Linked DNA regions of Saccharomyces cerevisiae S288C. The gene in region 1 interacts genetically with each later gene. Each region holds a gene or a part of one and is shown on either strand. Other genes may lie near its edges.

Region 1 (8,497 bases):
TGAAAAAAAATTAAGCGAAACTAGCATGATCAGAATTCTAAAGAGTATCGAGGATGAAAGTTCACCACTAGTAAGAGTATATAAAGAATGGTTCATTTCCTCAAAGGTTGTTGATTATTATAAAACTGGCAATCCAAAATTTGCTGAGGATTATCTCTTCTCATTGCTGGAGGATCATAGCAAACCGGTGTTTGTAGTTAGCGCAGAAAAAATATGCTTTATGGTGTTGAAAGATTTAAGAAACGACGAAAAGAAATATGGATTTACACAGTTACTAGACAGATTCATTTGCACGTTAGTTCCTAACGCAGCTTCAAACAAACCTCTGGTAAGGCATTTTTCTAATTCTCTAATAATTTCATTATGGCCTACATTCAAAGCCTACCTATCGGATCACACACTGAGAAACATCATTGAGAACTTATATTCCAATGCCAAAAAGACTCAAATATTTGGTCAATATCGTGCCGGGGATGCCAACATATGGGATCTGAAGGGTGATAGGAAATTAACGAACATGTTTGGTGGTGTGCTCAAAAAAGTTACCGACCATGATTGCCCGTACATTTCTGAGTCTGTTTTCGAAAAATATTTGCAGGAGAAAGATATTGTTCCTATAGGTACCGATGAAAGGTCCTTATGGCTTGATAAAAGAGACACCAATACGGAATCTGTTAACAACGCGAACATCTCCTGTGACACTTCTCCACTGCAAACAAAAAGTGGAGCTTGGGAAACCGTTCTGGATCTGGACAATAAAAAATCGAATGATGTCGTTACACGTTCTGAATTGATTGTGGTATCTTCATTAGTTGATAAGCCGCCAAACCTGGGAGGTATTTGTAGGTTATGTGATGTTTTAGGTGTGGGACTGCTTACTGTACAAGACATCAAAGTCAAAAACCATCCTCAATTTAAAAATGTTGCTGTGACTGCTGATAGATGGATGCCCATGGAGGAAGTTGCCCTAGATGAGATTGCAAGTTTCATGAAAGAGAAAAAGAAGGAAGGGTACACATTAATTGGGCTAGAGCAAACGGATAAATCAGTGAAGCTAGACAACAATTTCCAATTCCCTAAAAAATCATTGATCTTGCTAGGAACCGAAGCATTCGGTATTCCGGGGACTTTGTTAAGCGAATTGGATTTATGTTTAGAGATTCAACAATTTGGTGTGATCAGATCAATGAATATTCAAACGGCAACCGCAGTTATCGTTCATTCCTATACAGTTCAACACATGTAAGAATCAGGTTTCATTCCCACTTTTGTTAACCATGAAGTTTTTAGTATGTAAACTAATTTGTCTTTTTATCTAATTGTGACTATATTTTTATAAATTCTCCAGTGATCGTACTACGTCGGGGGCGTATTTCTCCACCATTGCAAGACCTTGCTTCAACAAATGAGGTTTAAAGCTTTTAACGTTTGAATCATTCAATGCTACTGATCTGATAGGTGATGTAATCTTACCATTAGACCAGGAAATGATTAGGCCATTATTGGCCACTTCGCTTTCGTTGGCTGCAGGGTCCAATAGCATATTGTTGCCTACAACGGCCAATATAAACACTAAAGGCGGATTAATGTCAAGCTTAACCATGTCGTAATCATGAAACGTAGGAAGTTCTTCCACCTCTAAGTCGTCAAAAGCTGAAATAAGTTTCGGTAGGTATGTGGAGTTCAACGCTGAATAAATAGCAAAGGATATTAAAGAAACTGGGTGTGAATGTGATGAAATGACCAGAACATCGACAAATATTTTGAAGCTGTACTTTTTTGTCAATTGCAACTTTGAGGAATCTACTCCGCTACCAGACTTCAAAACCTTGTTCAGTAAAGAAGTGATTGTCTCTACTACCAGCGCGTCATCTCTTTGGCCTGCGATATCTACATCGACCTGAAGTAGTTCATTCTCCACATGATGATCCACAACTTTGGACTTAATGCTCACGATACATTCACTTCCATCACTAGCTATAATTCTGGACGATCCATTGGAACTTGGTAGGAAGTCAGTAAATATTTCTATAGGTCTGAATTGATGAGGTAGTCTTCCATCGGGCCTAATTGAAGGCGTGCTTGCTAGTGAATCGTATAGGTACGACTTTTCGGCGACCGAAAGAGACATAAATGATTATTTCAACAGAATCTCAAACTGTCGTTGTGCTAGTCAAAAAGAATGCCTTTTGCCGTCTACAGACTATTAGTATCATTGTACTCCTTCACCATATAAGCTCTACGTTTCTTTTTTCTGAATATTAGAAAAAAATTTCGCCAACTAGGGTTCAAAATAATAGACTAGGGCACGGAAGAAAAGCACACCCTAGGGCTTTCGGAGATAAATTATTAATAGCGAGTTTTTTTTGTATTTACTTATTTTATTATTTCTTTAAGATATCTAGTAGTAAGGATAGAACGGGTAGATAGAATAGACAAATGGAGTTATTGAAATATTTATACGAAGAGATAGAACAGAGAGACAAAGAGTATGACGTGAAAATGATGCGCAGTAAAACTAAATCCCGTCTCTTAAATGAATATGCTGTTTGGTGTCACGACGTCCACATTTGAATTGTCCATGTCAACGTCAGGGCCCTTGTTGGTGTTGTCCTTTGCCTCTACCTCGTGCTTACTCTTGCCATGGCCCGTCTTTCTATATACCGTTTCTTGCTCCAATGCGTCCACTCTCTCATTGTAATTGTTTAGCACAATTTCGTTCTCCCTGACAGAGTCCTTGTACAGCGCCAGGTCTCCCGAATCAATGTTCTCCAAGTCGTCGCTGTCGTCAGCTTCAAGACGGTCGTCAGCACCCTCCAACTTAGCTATGTATTTACCCAAGCGGGCGTTAGACCTCTGCAAATGATTGATACTGTTCTCAATTTCTGTTTTAATCTGTGCCAACTCCATGTCGGACATGCCGCTTATCGCCGTCTTAAATTCTTCGATCTGGATTGGTCTTCTGATACCGCCTGCTGAGCACATTATGTTACTTGTAGTAGTTATTATGTTTTGATTTGCTTTATGTTTTATAAAGATCTTACCCCTCTTTTTGTCAAGAGAAATAAGCTTCTGAAGTATTGTTTTCCTGGTGAAAAGTGTCTTATTTATATGGAGAAGGGATATTCGGCCTCGGTTTTAGGGGAGGAGCTGAAGAGTTGTCCCGCTCGAAAAAGACCCGTAAGCGCATTTATCGAACTACGAAGTAAAATGGACTTTCGTAGGTGTGGACAATAGTAAATTGCAAGTCAATCCCGGGATGACGTCAAGATAGACAGTCAATCTGTCACAGAGGAATGCTTGCTAATCCAGGAGCTGGCGAGCTGGCTAGCTGTGGAGACTATTCCACCATGGTACACACTAGGATCCTCGATCTTGGTGAGCCATGAGTAGAACTTGTTTGGTTCCACCCCTCCGGTTGCCATGTTTATATCTTCCTCAGCAAACTGTTTATCTTGCATTGGTGAGGCGATTGGGTCATCTCTTTGGAAATGGGCGGTAACAAGGTGGTCAACCACCGGCCAGCCGTAAGCGTTGGAAAACCTTCTTCTTACGATGATGTTATTGTGGGCATCTGGTTTCAGCAATACCACGACTTTCCTCCAATGCATCCCCTTGTGCCAGCGGCGTGCTATGATTTCCTCCATCTCTTTTCTCGTCTTCCTCGTTTCGCCTTCCTTGGCTGCTGTTCCTTCATAAAGTGTTGGTGATGGAGGCGGTAAATTCTTTTCTGTGTAGATCTTATCATGTATGATTGTTGCGACCCTTGCATCGGGATCTGAGAAGAACTTTGCGTCGGGGCATGGTGATAGAAGCACAGACTTCATAGATTTGATGACGGAAGCATTCATCAAGCGTTTAGATTTCTTGTCGCAGTTATTTTCCTTGCTCTTCCAAAACGTGTTCCATGACGATGCATTGATTCCATCATCATCATTAGCAACATCGCTATGATTTGGAAGTTCCCCAATAGGACTTACTTCAGGCTGGAAGAGAGGATCACAAGGTGCCGTAGTTTGACCTCCCAGTTTCTGAAGTAATTGAGAGTAGTCCAAAAAAAGTAAAGAAGAGGAGTACAAGGGAACTATTCCGTCGTTGACGGCATTAGCATAAAGTGTTCTTCTTTTGAATCGAGCAAGCACACTGATTAAGGATTCCTCGGATAGCAGGTAAAGTAGGGGCTTATCACCATAATTTCCATCCTTAAGACCCAGTTCTTGCCCCGTAGTACCAATGATACCCATCGACAATGACATTTTTACGTAATTGGGCGTGCTGGTAGCAATGCCTAGCAATGGTGACGCCAGTGAGATAAAATTGATTGGCTCCACTTTCTTAAAGAAATATGGATATTTGGTCTTTATGTAACAAATAGCAAAAGTTTGTGTTAATCCACCCAGGGAATGACCAATAAATGAAATTTTCCCAACAGAGTCATCATATAACTCGTCGATGATGTAGTTTGCCAATCCAACACCCAAAAACTTAATACCCTTCTCAGTCTCACAAGCATTCTTCATATATCCCTTAATAACTAGTCGCTCATTTGGATTGTTCATTTGAGCCTTGTATATTTCTTCCATTAAGTATTCCATATCTGCCGAAACGTTTGATTGAAAACCATGCGTGAGAATGACTAAATGGGATTTTTGCGACATGTCTATGGGTCGTGGTACTTTCCATATATCTGCGGTGGTAAGTCTATGCACCGATAATCCTGTGTGTAAAATATTGCAGGCTTTATCAGGCAATGAATCATTACATCGTATTTTTCTTTTCAAAGAGGCCTTTGAATTGCCGACTACTATCTCAAAAGTTACCTTAGTTTCTTTATTAAATAGTATTTGACTGACAATATCCACTATCCATACATAGCGTGGCTTAATGTGGTGCAAGGACAACTCTGCAATAAACTTTTGTTGTGCCTGTAGGTTTGATTGAAATACTGGTTTATCCGCCGAACATATGATCTTATACGAGCTTTCGTAATCTTTTGCTCGCACGTCACAATATAAGATAAATGGGCCCAATAGATAGGCTGGTTTATAGGATAGCTTTGTGGTATTTTTGATCTTTACCCATAGGGAATCCAGTGTGATATCAGCGGGAATACTATCACCCTGGTATAGCTCATATGTAATAACGTATCTTTCTAACTCACCTAACTTTACTGACGACTGATTGTGGTATAGCACTTCATCAGCACTCCTGCCAGCTTCCATATTACTACCGTTTCCCCGATGTTTTTGGGTGAATAAGGTCAGGTGAGCATTTTTTGTACTGATATTTTTTCTCTTTGTTTGCAGACACAACGCTTGCTGTTAATACGCTAAAAACATACCACACTACCTTGAACAAATCCTCCAAGAGAAATTTGTAAGAATTCAGAAGCGGTTTCAGGGGAAGTCGGCTTAGTTGTCAATTGTAATTGAAAATCACCCTCTAATTTGAAAGATTTTCAGTTTCAATAAGACATCAATCTTGCCAGTTTGTAATTTTTTGGTATATAGAAATGGTCTTCAAGCATAAGCCTTAAGAAAGATTCGTCCATTGGATGAACCTACAATTTTTTTTGTGTTATGATGTGAAGCTTCATTTGAAGCATTGTGCAGAGAATATTACAAGTAGATTCAAAAAACACATTGAAAAAAAATACAAGTGAAATCACAGTTACTTAAAAGTCATCAAAAAAAATATTCCCGGCCTCAGAGCGAACATATGAAAGTGAATATGGAGTACACAAAGGGTATGTGGGGGTTATATATTGTCGTCTTTCTTTTAACATTCAATAATGATACTAACGTTGATTAATGATGATTCATCGCAGAAAAGAAAGTTGGTGAGGGTACTTATGCGGTTGTTTACTTGGGTTGTCAACACTCTACTGGAAGAAAGATTGCTATTAAGGAGATCAAAACATCCGAATTTAAAGATGGTTTAGATATGTCAGCTATCCGTGAAGTTAAGTACCTCCAAGAAATGCAGCATCCGAACGTCATAGAACTAATAGACATATTTATGGCTTATGATAATTTAAATCTCGTTCTGGAGTTCCTACCAACTGATCTAGAGGTGGTAATAAAAGACAAATCAATACTGTTTACACCAGCAGATATTAAGGCATGGATGCTTATGACTTTGAGGGGCGTGTATCATTGCCACAGAAATTTCATTTTGCACAGGGATCTGAAACCAAACAATTTATTATTTTCACCTGATGGCCAGATAAAAGTAGCAGATTTCGGTCTAGCAAGGGCGATACCGGCCCCACATGAGATACTGACAAGTAACGTCGTAACAAGATGGTATAGAGCGCCAGAATTGTTGTTTGGAGCTAAACATTACACATCGGCTATTGATATCTGGTCAGTAGGCGTTATATTCGCGGAATTAATGCTAAGGATACCTTATTTACCAGGACAGAATGATGTCGATCAAATGGAAGTAACGTTCAGGGCCTTAGGGACACCTACAGATAGAGATTGGCCCGAAGTTTCTTCCTTTATGACGTATAACAAGTTACAAATATATCCGCCCCCTTCAAGAGATGAATTGAGGAAAAGGTTCATTGCTGCTAGCGAATACGCCTTAGATTTTATGTGTGGAATGCTAACGATGAACCCACAAAAGAGGTGGACCGCTGTTCAGTGTTTAGAAAGTGATTATTTCAAAGAATTACCACCACCAAGTGACCCGTCTTCAATAAAAATACGTAACTGATATGATTTTATAAAATTTGTAGAATCTGTGTTATTGACATTAGATGTATCCTCAACATATACAAATAAACTTCTTGATGCGTCTTGTTTTTTGGTGTTGAATTTTAACTCTTTTCCATCATTATGGAATTCGTTTTTAGATTTTAACAACAACAATATGAGGGGAGACAAACAGTAGCAGACGAAAACGAAAACAAAAGCAAGAAATATCTGATCTAAAATATGCAGAGGTTTGTCAGTAAGTTTGTTTCCACACCACCAGTACCCAAAAAGTTTCAAGAGATTTTCCCGAAGAAACGTACGGTTAACAAAATTTTATTCCAGTTAGATACAAGGCTTACATACCATGAAATGTACCCGATATTTCTGCAGGTATCACAAAATACTAATGAAGAGAATATCCCATGGAGGAAGAAATACCCCTATATAAGGAGTTCAGACATTATGCAGATGCGAAACGTCTTGATAACTCTAAGGACGCAGAACAAATTCGTCCACAAAGACTTATTAGCTATGGAGGATAAATTATTGAATATTGCTGCCGAACTTGGCAACAACGATGCTATATCCATCCTAAGCTTCAACGTGATACATGAATATAAAAAGGAAAACGTCAAATCCAGTTATGAAAAAGACATTGAAACGGCTAATGAATTCATAAAGAAGCTGTATGCGCGTAACCATCATTTAACGGTTAAATTAATAGGGGACCTGTTTTTCGAAAACAAAACTTACGATAAGGCTGAGAAATATTACCAAGAGTTCTTGAAATTGGAAAATAGTACCAAATTGGCAGGCGAAGTTCACGGAAAACTTGGGGAAATCCAAATAAAGCAAGTCAATGGTTTTTTGAAGGCAGAAAAGTCATGGCTGAGTTGTATAGAACTGCTGGAAATTGAAAGAAGTTCACGTTGGTACTTTCTGTTAGCGAGGTTATATATGAGTTCAGAGCCCATGAAAGCCAAAGCCTTGCTAGAAAATTGTGCATCAATTGGATTTAAAGAATGCTTTAAAACATTAGGATTTCTTGAATTAAACTATTTCAATAATTATGAAAGGGCGAAAGAATGGTTCAAAACGGGTATGGAAATAATGGACTTGGAATGTTTCTTTGGATTTTTCGATTGCTGTGTGAAAGAAGAGAATTTTAAAGGTGCACGAGATTGCCTAGAAAGCGTAAAAAAGCTAGGGAATGATAAAGACAAGAAAACAATGATAAATGTCTTTCTTGAAAGTAGAAAAGATTCCATAAAGTTGCTGGACAAAGCACGGCTTTAAATGTCTGATCGATTCTTTTTGCGATTTATATAAGGACACATGTCTCCACCTATAACGCGAGCTTGTAAATATCTATATACCCATCTGATAATGTTCAAAAAAGTCAGCTAAGTAAGTAAAATAATAAGGACAATAAAATTAAAATGTCATACAATGTTACCTATGAAATAATTAGGAAATACTGTTAGAGTAATATTTAGAGTTGAAAATGCAATCGCAAAAAAAAAAAAACAGAATTATTTTCATCATATCCATCTATGCTCGTCAGTTAGTTCGTTAGTGTTCTTCAAAAAATCTGGAGTATTTGGGAGTTCACTATCAGTCGGTAAAGACAACAAATGATCATTTGGATTTGCAACAATATCAGCATCGTTGGATAAATGTTCTTGCGCTAGATGATTCTCCTCATTATTAGCATTATGATTGTTATTGCTGTTGACGGTAGTATCCAGTAAATTGAGCGTATCATCCTTGCTAGCTTGACGTCCATTATTAGAGCC
Region 2 (3,322 bases), 750 kb from region 1:
ACTCCCCGCTTCGGAGTTTCTTTTTTATTTTCTAGAAAAATTCACATGCTGATTCATTTACCGTTACTGTTTCACTGTGATGCTACTAGTCATATTCTTCTTATATCAATTTTTTTTCTATTGCTGTTTGCATTACCGCAACATACGATGGGAATAAACAGCACAAGCTGTTGTGTACATTTTTCCTCATCATATAACTACAATGTACATAAGTTAGCTTGAAAAAATTCTAGGTCTCATATTAATGCTTGAAATATGGAAGTATGTCGAATGTTTTATAAATAAGTCGAGAAAAATGGTTATGCTACCAGCTAACTTATATATATATAAGACTCTTTCATTCTTTTCTTTGTCTCTCAAACTTATATTTGTTTACGTTTTGGAGGAAAACTAATTATTTTTTTAATAAAGTAAACATAGCATTTCCAAGGTGCAAACCGATCCCTACCACCAAAATAAGCATACAAGACCGTTACAGCGTTAAGACAAAACTATGCTTCTAGGGGGGGGGGACAAAGCAAGGAAGATTAAAATGAATTCTTCAACTTAGGGGTACTTTAAGAGAAAGAATTCAATACTTGCGTTAGCTGACCACCCCATAGTTCGTTTAGATAAGGATATGGTGTGAAATTCATAGTTGAAGACTCTTGAGGAGGTAGGGAACATCTCTCTTCGCCCACCAAACCCAGTTTTCTCTAATACTCCATATCCAAAAAAGTGTAGCTCTATGTACATTGCCAAGGTTTTCTACTGATCAATATTTGATGGAAAAATATGACATAAGGTATGCGTATTAGTAAACTATTAGGGAGCCGCCGGTACTAATAACATCAAGGCCATCTCACGCCGAGACTTACTTGGACTTTTCTCTATTGTAAAGCGGAAAAAAAGTTATCACCCCGCCCCCTCCTCCGCTCCTCCACTAAAACGATCAGCAAATGGCAGAATAACGCGGTACTAACCAGTTTTTCCGTTCCTTGAAACCCAGTCATACTATGAAGTCCCTAAAATTATTCCGAAATTATTCCCTAGAACAAGCGGGAAAAAGGTCCGGGGAAATGGAGTCCGTGCGAGTTTTGTTAGGATGACTGCCCCACACATTTCCTCATCTTATAATTTTGTGGAAAAATTCATCGTGAGAGAAAATACGAGTCCATTTCTCCAGTGAAACTACCGTAGACATGGAATATCTGCCATTCTACCCCTTATTCAAGTGCCTTTTTTTTTTTTTTTCATCCCACATTTTATTGCTGCCTCAATCTCCATTAAGAAAAAAAATTTATATAACCAAATGACATTTTTCCTTTCTTCTCAAACTTTGTAATGCGCCTGTAACTGCTTCTTTTTTTATTAAAAAACAGCATGGAGTTTTTTAATAACTTAAGGAAACATACAAAAAGATTTGTTCATTTCACTCCAAGTATTTTTTAACGTATATTGAAAGTTCTCAATAGCGAAACCACAAGCAGCAATACAAAGAGAATTTTATTCGAACGCATAGAGTACACACACTCAAAGGAATGTTTGTTTCACCACCACCAGCAACTTCGAAAAACCAAGTTTTACAACGACGTCCATTAGAATCGACTAACAGTAATCATGGGTTTGCAAGCTCCCTACAGGCCATTCCGGAAAACACGATGAGTGGCAGTGATAATGCTTCTTTTCAAAGTTTGCCACTATCAATGAGTAGCTCTCAATCCACGACTTCTTCGAGAAGAGAGAACTTTGTGAATGCTCCTCCGGAGTACACTGATAGAGCTAGAGATGAGATTAAAAAAAGATTATTGGCCTCCTCACCTAGCAGAAGGTCACATCATTCAAGCAGTATGCATTCAGCGAGCAGGAGATCAAGCGTGGCTGAAAGTGGGAGTTTACTTTCGGATAATGCCTCGTCTTATCAATCAAGTATATTTTCTGCCCCCTCTACTGTGCACACGCAACTAACTAATGACTCTTCGTTCTCCGAATTTCCTAACCACAAGTTAATCACGAGAGTGAGCCTGGATGAAGCATTACCCAAAACGTTTTATGACATGTATTCGCCAGATATTCTATTAGCAGACCCATCCAACATTCTCTGTAACGGGCGTCCCAAGTTTACCAAGAGAGAGTTATTGGATTGGGATTTAAACGATATAAGATCGTTATTGATAGTCGAGAAGTTAAGGCCCGAATGGGGTAATCAACTACCGGAAGTAATAACGGTGGGTGATAATATGCCCCAGTTTAGGTTACAATTATTACCACTATATTCTAGCGATGAGACCATAATCGCAACGTTAGTCCATTCGGATCTGTACATGGAGGCTAACTTAGATTATGAATTCAAACTAACCAGCGCCAAATATACAGTAGCGACCGCTAGAAAAAGACATGAGCATATAACTGGTAGAAATGAAGCCGTCATGAATTTGTCGAAACCGGAATGGAGAAATATCATCGAAAATTACCTCTTAAATATAGCAGTAGAGGCACAATGCAGGTTTGATTTCAAACAAAGATGCTCCGAATATAAGAAATGGAAGTTACAACAGTCCAACTTAAAAAGACCGGACATGCCCCCACCAAGCATAATACCGCGGAAAAACAGCACAGAAACAAAATCGCTTCTGAAAAAGGCTTTATTGAAGAACATTCAGTTGAAAAACCCCAATAATAACCTTGATGAATTGATGATGAGATCAAGCGCCGCAACAAATCAACAGGGAAAAAACAAAGTCAGCTTATCTAAAGAAGAAAAGGCTACGATATGGTCGCAATGTCAGGCACAAGTTTACCAAAGATTAGGATTGGATTGGCAGCCGGATTCAGTATCCTGAAGATACTAAAAAGAAACCTTCCCGATGGTTTTTTTGGAGACTCTTCGATTGTATCAATACTATCCCATGGACATCAGTTTTAATAGAGGAGCTCCAAATTCCCAAGGAATTGAGGAAGAAGCGCCAATGATTTATATATACAAACTAGCTGTTGCAGCTTTATAGAGATTTAGTAATAAGAATTTTATGGGAACGTGGTACCGTTATCGCAGTAAAGAGTCAAGGGTAGCGAAGATCAAACCATACGATGACGAAATACCTTTAGTTCTTAGCATCACCAATCGCAGACATCCAACGTATCCGTGCGCGTAATCCTTCTCTTGGTAGTTGAGCACAGCATACAGAAGAAGCCGCGCGCAAGCGGTAAATGTCTTTCCTCCGGCCTTCTAACCACCAAAACCGATCTCGGAACATGGGGGGGGGAAGGTCCTCTGAATCGAAAAACCCGAGACAGCGAGAGGGATTTTGCAGAAAATTACAAAGATCACTATTTACTGCTC

What was found. A genetic interaction does not mean that the proteins touch.
Region 2: mutations in MSS2 (region 1) and MTH1 together harm fitness more than expected from each alone (negative genetic interaction), as found in Saccharomyces cerevisiae (2 studies listed by BioGRID).

Annotation. Positions count from the first base shown.
Region 1 is NC_001136.10:261,980-270,476, forward strand, and holds MSS2 (Mss2p), read left to right. Parts: upstream 1-6,941; coding exon 6,942-7,997; downstream 7,998-8,497. Other genes in the region: TRM3 (tRNA (guanosine(18)-2'-O)-methyltransferase), read left to right, coding at 1-1,246; exosome non-catalytic core subunit RRP42, read right to left, coding at 1,334-2,131; TMA17 (Tma17p), read right to left, coding at 2,533-2,985; YDL109C (putative lipase), read right to left, coding at 3,279-5,222; TFIIH complex serine/threonine-protein kinase subunit KIN28, read left to right, coding at 5,719-5,746, 5,828-6,720; PHO2 (Pho2p), read right to left, coding at 8,243-8,497. UniProt on the Saccharomyces cerevisiae protein: Required to stabilize mitochondrial cytochrome C oxidase subunit 2 (COX2) and to translocate the C-terminal domain of COX2 through the inner membrane.
Region 2 is NC_001136.10:1,013,901-1,017,222, reverse strand, and holds MTH1 (Mth1p), read left to right. Parts: upstream 1-1,520; coding exon 1,521-2,822; downstream 2,823-3,322.